Oryzias latipes: one gene and its partner. Each later gene encodes a partner of the first gene's protein in a complex. Links are inferred from orthologs where the notes say so. Each region holds a gene or a part of one and is shown in the gene's direction. Other genes may lie near its edges.

Region 1 (3,655 bases):
TTGGACAAAGCACAAGAAATGTTAGCCCCCAATAGACTGAAAACAAAAAGGATAACAAGCCTGAGAACATCTCACAGGATCAAGCATCTCCTTGAGATGCTACTGCTAAATCCTCCATAAACAACAATAATTACAACATAATCCAACATCTTGAAGTTTGTTGACAAAGACAGTCTGATCTAATTTTTTGGTATTTCTTGTATCATGGAAAATTTGGAGAAAAAAAAGTCCTGAAATATTGACTATTTCCCATATGTTATGATTTAAATTCAAATAAATTTAAAAATCTGCATTTGATACCTTCTGGGATTCTGGGGTGCCAGGAAGATCTACCATTGAAAATGCAAGGTGCCAAGTTGGTGAAGGTAGTAGTATTATGGTGTGGAAGTTTTTATTTTATTTTGTTGTTCCAACAAAAATGATTTTTAAACACTTCAGCACATTTTTATTTTAGAGAACTTTAAGTTCTTTTGGCAGTGTTCTAACATGATGCTCAAAGCTACAGCCTCATAAAGATGAGCGTTTAGAACACTTTTCAGATACATTTCAGTTGGAAAAAAAACATGTTTGAGTAGGATACATAAATTTGACCAATAAATAAATAAACATATATATATTTGTATGACAGAAGGAATCCATGCATTACAGTCTTTAATGTCACATTGATAAGCGTGTAGTGAGTTTGAGGTCTGCAGACAGAAATCTGTGATTGTGGGCGGAGTCAGAGTGCCACTCCTCGCGCAGGCCTTCACGGGAGCGCGCTTGTCACACTGTTACTACCAACAGTCCGAGTTCGGAAGTCTCCGTGGATAGGAAGAAGGGCAGCAATTTCACTAAGGGAGTCGAGATTAAAGCTGCTATTATTTTAAGGTCTAATATTTTAAGAAGGAAAAGACCTATTGTGTTTTTTTTGTCGGCTACAACGAATATTAGACAGACCTAACTCTGGAATATGGACTAAACGCGCCGGGTGCGAGCAGATGGAAGCCGCGAGAAGTTTGGTGTTTATCGGAGCCGTTCTGCTCGGAGTGCCGGGCGTTTTGGGCGGAGAAGGTGGGTGACTTTTGTCGTCTTTTGCGCTCTCACGGTTTGGGAACGCGGACATACTAGACCCCGTTCGAGTTGTGTTCGTGTGGACGTGAAGTGTGAAGTCGACGCGGGTTCCTGCATTCCTCGTACGTGATTTCGTCCTCCCTGCGGAGATTCATGGGAGTTATGGAGCGCAGATAAGGACAAAATTCCCACCTGTCAAAAAGTAGCTTCGCTAAAAGCTTTCAGTTTGAATTTCAATTACAAACTTACACTAAATTGAATAAAGAGAGTTAAAGCCACATAGTTGGGCAATAAACTCGAGAACTGGTGTTGAGATGCAGCAGAGCAGTGTTGGTAAACAACAAACAAACAAACAAACAAAAGCTCTGTGTGCAGAAGATCATCATGACTATGTCAATTATTCACTTCTGGCTCCTAAGGGGACATTGTCTGATAGAGGGCCACTTATCACACTTGGAGCTTGGAGTGCATGCCAGTAAAGTAAGAGCTAACTAACTGAAAGTGCAAATAAGAGCAAATTTGCAAAATGCAAATCAAGATTTCTTTTGTTTAAAGCCAAACCTGAGGAGTTTTTGGATTTCTTCATGTTGCAGAAAGTAGCACCGCTCTAAACTATTTGTTTCATTGTTTTTCACATTTCATATACCAATTATATAAAGTCGAAGAAAAGGAGTCAGATTTGAAAAACTCCAATATCATTTTTTATTTCTGCAAGAAAACCACAGTTTTCATGATTATTATTATGAACTAGTTTAATATCTGTTCTAGGAGGATTTAGCAATATCAATAAACATGTAAAACCTTTGCACAGACTGAGACTATGTGCAGACTTTATTAAATTGCCAGTTTTTGGGGTTAAAAACAACAAAAAGAGCCATGAATTTTTTTTTTTGGACTTTGATTACCAATTTCCAGCTCAATTAAGTTGAAAGACGAAATCCTTAGAGCACAAACAATACTCCTGTTTTATTAGCTGCCCCCGAAGCACTACCACTAATCGGACACACGCAGGAACAAAGCCAGTAGTCACAGGTGAAGTCATTTCTGAACGCGACAGCATTGTTGGGGGGAACAGGTTGGTGCACTTTAGTCTGCAGTGTTGATCTCTGAAGCATCGGACCTGTGCCGGAGTGCTCTGACTGGTTCCCAGAGTTAAGCAACATGTTATGCCCAAGTGTTGACTTCCAGCCTTCTTACTTTCATTTGTTATGTCACTCACACGTGTGCACAGCCCCTCTATGCAGGATCCTTGGTGTGAGGCGATTGCCTCAGTGGACGCACAGTTCACGCCCTTGTCATATTTTAGCGCACCTCAAGGCAAAGTCTATTTGAATTGACGCTAGTTGCAGGTTAACTCTGCCCGTCTAGACTGTTAGTGACCTGACCCACTCTGACTGAGATCAGGATGGTCGTTCTCTAAAAAGGCTCCGCTCACCCTCATGTTTTTCAGAGGAACGTCCGTTTTTTGGCAATAAAAAACTTTTAATTCAACCAATCAAGCATCTTATTGTTTTAATATTATTTTGCATCTTAACCTGGGCATTTAACACTAAGACACTATCATTTTTTTCATGTAAACCTTTTAAAGGCTGTGTTTGAAGATCAATTTGTTTCAATTAAAAAGACAATTCAAAAATATGAAATTCCTCGATTTAATTCTTTTTATAAGAATGTATCACAAATTATCTGGAAAAATGTATCAAATTTATTCGTTTCTATTGTGAGATTTCACAATATTATGATCAAAGGTTTTACTTTTGGTCACTTCATCACTAAACAACTTATTTTAAAACAAAAATTTGACCAGTAAAATGACATTTAATCAATTGTAATGAATCCTATCAAAATTTAGAATTTCTTATCAAAGACTTTACCAATAATCACACTAAAGTTCTCACTTCAGCTCAGGTTATATCTAAAATGCTTTTTTACTTGGAGGGAGATTTGTCTATATTATATGTTGTCATTATTTGTATAAAATGCTCAAATTGCCCTTACCCTACATAAAATGTTTGCATGTCAGTGTTATTTTATTGCATGTATGCAAAATGTGCGTGTGTGTGTTTTTTTTTTAAAGATTTTGTGCATGAATGGTTTCCCATAAGCTCAACTCTCATGTTCAGACCCGGCATTGGAGCAGCTAAATTTAAAAAGAGGACTGTGATGCGTTCACTAATAATAGTCAGTGGTGTGGATGCTTCATAAATATCTTGAAGGCTTGAAGCTCTTGGGTCTCTCCTTGTTGTCTTCATATAGATCCAAAGGTTAAAAAATATCATATTTATATGACTTTGATGCACATTTTTATGCCTTCAGTTTCCCAAAATATTGTCGGTCTGTAGGAATTTATTTGTTCTTTTGACCTGGAACTGAATTTCTATGATACACAGTACTCAGAAATCTGTCAAATTGTTTTAGCTCAATGTTGGTAAACTACATTGACTGTAGGTCTGCATGATATGAGGAAAACTTGCAATATTAGTATTCAATATTGTGATGACGATATAACTTGCGATATTTGAACAAATAGTAAAACTAGCAAAAACGTAATTCCCACTTCACTGCAGTTTAATCTAAATAAGAGTCAACATATCTTAAATTA
Region 2 (3,752 bases), on another chromosome or scaffold:
GTCTCTGTGTTGGAGAGTTTTGCCTGCTATTTGGTTTTCGTTTCGTGTTGCAGATGCTCCTCCTTGGTTTTTGATTTAGTGTCATTAAACAGTCTTCAACTTGCCCTTTTTGCATCCAAGCCTTACCCTGCATCTGCATTCTGGAGCCCTAAACCGAAACATGATGACCTGTGATCGTCTTTCAAGCTGTTCATGTCTTTTGGCCTGTTAATGTTTCTGTCAATGAACGTCTTTTGGCTTAAGCACGTCTTTCAATTTATGAATGTCTTTCAGTCTGTGAACATCTTTCAGTTTATGAACGTCTTTCAGTCTTCTAACGTCTTTCATTTTGTGAACGTCTTGCAGTCTATGAACGTCTTTATGAACGTCTTTCAGTCTGTGCACGTCTTTCAATTTATGAATGTCTTTCAGTCTGTGAACATCTTTCAGTTTATGAACGTCTTTCAGTCTTTGAACGTCTTTCATTTTGTGAACGTCTTGCAGTCTATGAACGTCTTTATGAACGTCTTTCAGTCTGTGCACATCTTTCAGTCTGTGACAATCTTTCACTCTGTGAACGTCTTTCAGTTTGTGAATGTCTTTCAGTTTGTGAAGGTCTTTCTGGTTGTACAAATCTTTTGACACAGAAACGTCTTTTTGTGTGTGCACGTGTGACAAGCAGAGCAGTACAGGAGCAGTCAGTGTGGTTGCATTTGTCCGGTTATGTCTGCGAGCTTGTCTTACTTTCCATTCCTTCATACTTGACGTTCAGTCATTTTACACCTGTGATTTAGCATCAGTTCACTTTTAATTTTTTTTTTCCTTTTTTTTTGGATCTTAGTTTTTTTGTGTTTTACTTAATGTGTGCCCTTGCTGCCTTCTTTTTATAGTTGCTTATGGGTAGTTTTGTCTTTTTTTAGGCTTCTGCAGGAGACTCTTCCTCTCCTCCATTCTCTGTCCCTTTGCACGGACACAAACTGCAATACATAGCAGGGGGTTTATAAGTCATCTTTTTAACATTGAATGCCCTCCAGTTTGCCTATTTCTTTGGTACAGAAATTCATTCTTTTGCCATCGGAACTGTCTGTTATTTCATTCAAAGTTTCCCCACACTTCCTTGTTCTTTGTACTGAGAGAGCAAGGCGCCCTTATCTCACACTGAATCATTAACCAACGGTGTGAGACTGAGAGGCAGAACTGAGAAGCTCTGAAAGAGAACTAAGACCAGTGAAAGGTCGATGTGCCGAGGTTGCATTTGCATTCCTGCTGCGCTGGAGCTTCGCTCAGGTGTTGGATCTCCTCGTCATGGAACTACTGCCTTCGCTGCTGTCAGCCCTCAAGGCTCGGGATACCAGAAGTTTGGAGCAGGAGTTCAACGTGAGTGTCTGCTTAAATCCCTCAGAGAACAGGTAAATAGGTAGCCCTGATGGTCAGTGTTTCTCAGAATGAGCTGGAGCTTCTGTAGGTGAGACATTTATTTGTTGTTAAGATCAGAATTATCTAAAACTTTAGGATAAACAGCAAATACACCACATGTTTAAACTAAAAATAAAACAACAGACATGTAACTCTCTGGTCATGGTGGTTGAGGTTAGTGTGCCTTTCGGCTGTCAGTTGAGGACACAGTGAGCCTTGCAGTTAGGGCTGCTCCCTTGTTGTTTGTTTCTTTGTCGTCTCTGAATCATTAATTCAAATGAGCTGCAGCCAGTGAGCTCTGAAAGAGCTACTGTTTCCCATCAGCCTGTGTTCTGTCTCTAACAAGCCTCCTAACGCTCAACCAACGACGCACAGATGACACGAATGTTTTTTAAAGCATTTGTGTCGGTTTAAACTAGAGTGAAAGAGGTCTTTAGATTGACCTCACACTATGTGATACCCTTGCCCCCCCATCTCTGACAGACTTGACGCCCAGTCGGGTCATGCTGATACCTGAGAGCAGCATGAAGCTGCTTGTTTGTGCAGCGATATAACGGAGGAATAAGAAGGAACACAGAAGAATGAGATGATGGAAATGAAATGTGTGTGAGCAAAGGGGACGTAAAAGTCAGGGATGTGTTTTTAGGTCAGGTAAAAATGAAGATTCAAACCTTCAAGTAACCACTTCAATAAAAGCTCTTGTTGTTTCTTCTGTAAAAATGAGACCTTCTGCTGGATATCATGATAACTCTTTTTGAGGTTCATGTTGGGATGGGAAGGTCAGCTTCAATGGGACTTTACTGTTTTCAAAAATCCATGTGTTTACATTAAAAATGTATTGAATCATAAACGCTGTAATTACACTGGACAAAAAATATTAACACCACATTTTTGTTTTTGCTCCATTTATCATTAAACGAACTCAAAGATCTGACACATTTTCTGCAAACAGCGCAACCATTTCTCTCAGATATTGTTCACAAATGTGTCTAAATCTGTAAATGTGAGCACTTCTCTCTCGCTGAGATAATCCATCCCACCCCGCAGGTGTGCCATATCAACATGCTGATTGGACAGCATGATTACTGCACAGGTGTGCCTTAGACAGGCCAGACTGAAAGACCACCCTGAAACATGCCATTTTGTTTTAATGTTTTAATCCAGCAAGTGTGTCATTACTGTTGTTTTGTTAAAATGGGCAGTGAGTCAATCACCCAAAGGCAAACATAAGCACTAAACAGAACTACCAACACCCAGACTGTGCTGATGTTATCCTGCTTTCTACCTTACCTTTTTATCTCAGCTGATCAGATGTGAAATAAAGGGACAGTTCAGTGGAAGATGTGGAACGTGCTCGATTCCCCTTTGGTGCAGCCAGAAGGCCCAGTTTCAAATTCCAGGTGGTGCCTTTCTATGTTCTTCCCGTGCATTCATTTTATATTCGTCCCTCAGTCCAGAATCATGCTTCATGGGTTAATTGGGGACTAAGTTGTCTTTTAGGTGTTCATGTGAGTGTGTGTGATTCTGTGGCCCTGCAACAGACTGGTGGCTTGTCCAGGGTGACCCAACCTTTACCTAACAGTGGTTGGGATAGGCTCCAGCAACCATGTGACCCTACAAGGGAATAAGCAGGTTTTAAAAAAAATGCGGACCATCTCCCGTAATGACCAGGTGATGTAGACATCACCTTTCACGAGGAAAACTCGGAAGGACAAACAAAGCCTGATCAAAGGAGAAGTGGAATTTTATTAGGGAAATAAGATATCTTCAGAGTGGAGACAGAAAGTCTGTTTTACTTTGTGTCTCACTTCAGGTATTTGCAAAATAGATAATAAGAAATCTCTCTACATTAAAATTTTCTTGAATAAAATGTCAGTGGAACATTTGCATTCAAACTAAATGAATGAGGCAAATCTCAAACACCAACATCGGAGGGGATGCAGAAGGACATCCGTCCAGCTGCTTTGCAGCAGGGGGTAGTTATGTTGACTTCTGCCAAAGTGTAGCTGAACAACAGACTCACACAGCTGCATTCATTTACATAAGCCAGGTAAATCAATATTCAAAACACGTTTGATTGTAAAAATGACAATTCTGAGAACCACGTCCCGAAAGGATCGCTTCTTTCCTGCTCCACGGTTTCAGACTTGAACTGATCAAACACACGTCTGCTCCTGGATGGAAGTGCAGGAAAAATGATGAAAAGAAGAGTTCAGGTGCAGAAAAAAAGCAGACAGCTGTTGCGGCTACAGTTCAGTGAGCTGCTATTTTGAGAAGTTCAGACTTTCTGACTCACCATTGGTTCACAGTTGATCTGTGGCGGCCTCCGAAACAAACTCTGTCTTGCATTGACCATT

Evidence for each region.
Region 2: the proteins of receptor tyrosine-protein kinase erbB-2 (region 1) and tyrosine-protein phosphatase non-receptor type 18 are in contact, whole or in part, in a crystal structure (PDB 4NND), measured with the Homo sapiens proteins. The link is inferred for Oryzias latipes from reciprocal best matches to the Homo sapiens genes ERBB2 and PTPN18. Residues at the interface, in NP_004439.2 of Homo sapiens: Leu1109, Gln1110, Arg1111, Tyr1112, Ser1113, Glu1114; in NP_055184.2 of Homo sapiens: Arg61, Tyr62, Lys63, Asp64, Val65, Arg138, Asp197, Arg198, Ser230, Ala231, Gly232, Cys233, Gly234, Arg235, Arg268, Ala273, Gln276.

The regions. Positions count from the first base shown.
Region 1 is NC_019877.2:7,422,657-7,426,311, reverse strand, and holds the start of receptor tyrosine-protein kinase erbB-2, read left to right. Parts: upstream 1-750; 5' UTR 751-980; coding exon 981-1,053; intron 1,054-3,655. UniProt on the Homo sapiens protein: Protein tyrosine kinase that is part of several cell surface receptor complexes, but that apparently needs a coreceptor for ligand binding. Essential component of a neuregulin-receptor complex, although neuregulins do not interact with it alone.
Region 2 is NC_019865.2:32,123,716-32,127,467, reverse strand, and holds the start of tyrosine-protein phosphatase non-receptor type 18, read left to right. Parts: upstream 1-1,164; 5' UTR 1,165-1,284; coding exon 1,285-1,356; intron 1,357-3,752. UniProt on the Homo sapiens protein: Differentially dephosphorylate autophosphorylated tyrosine kinases which are known to be overexpressed in tumor tissues.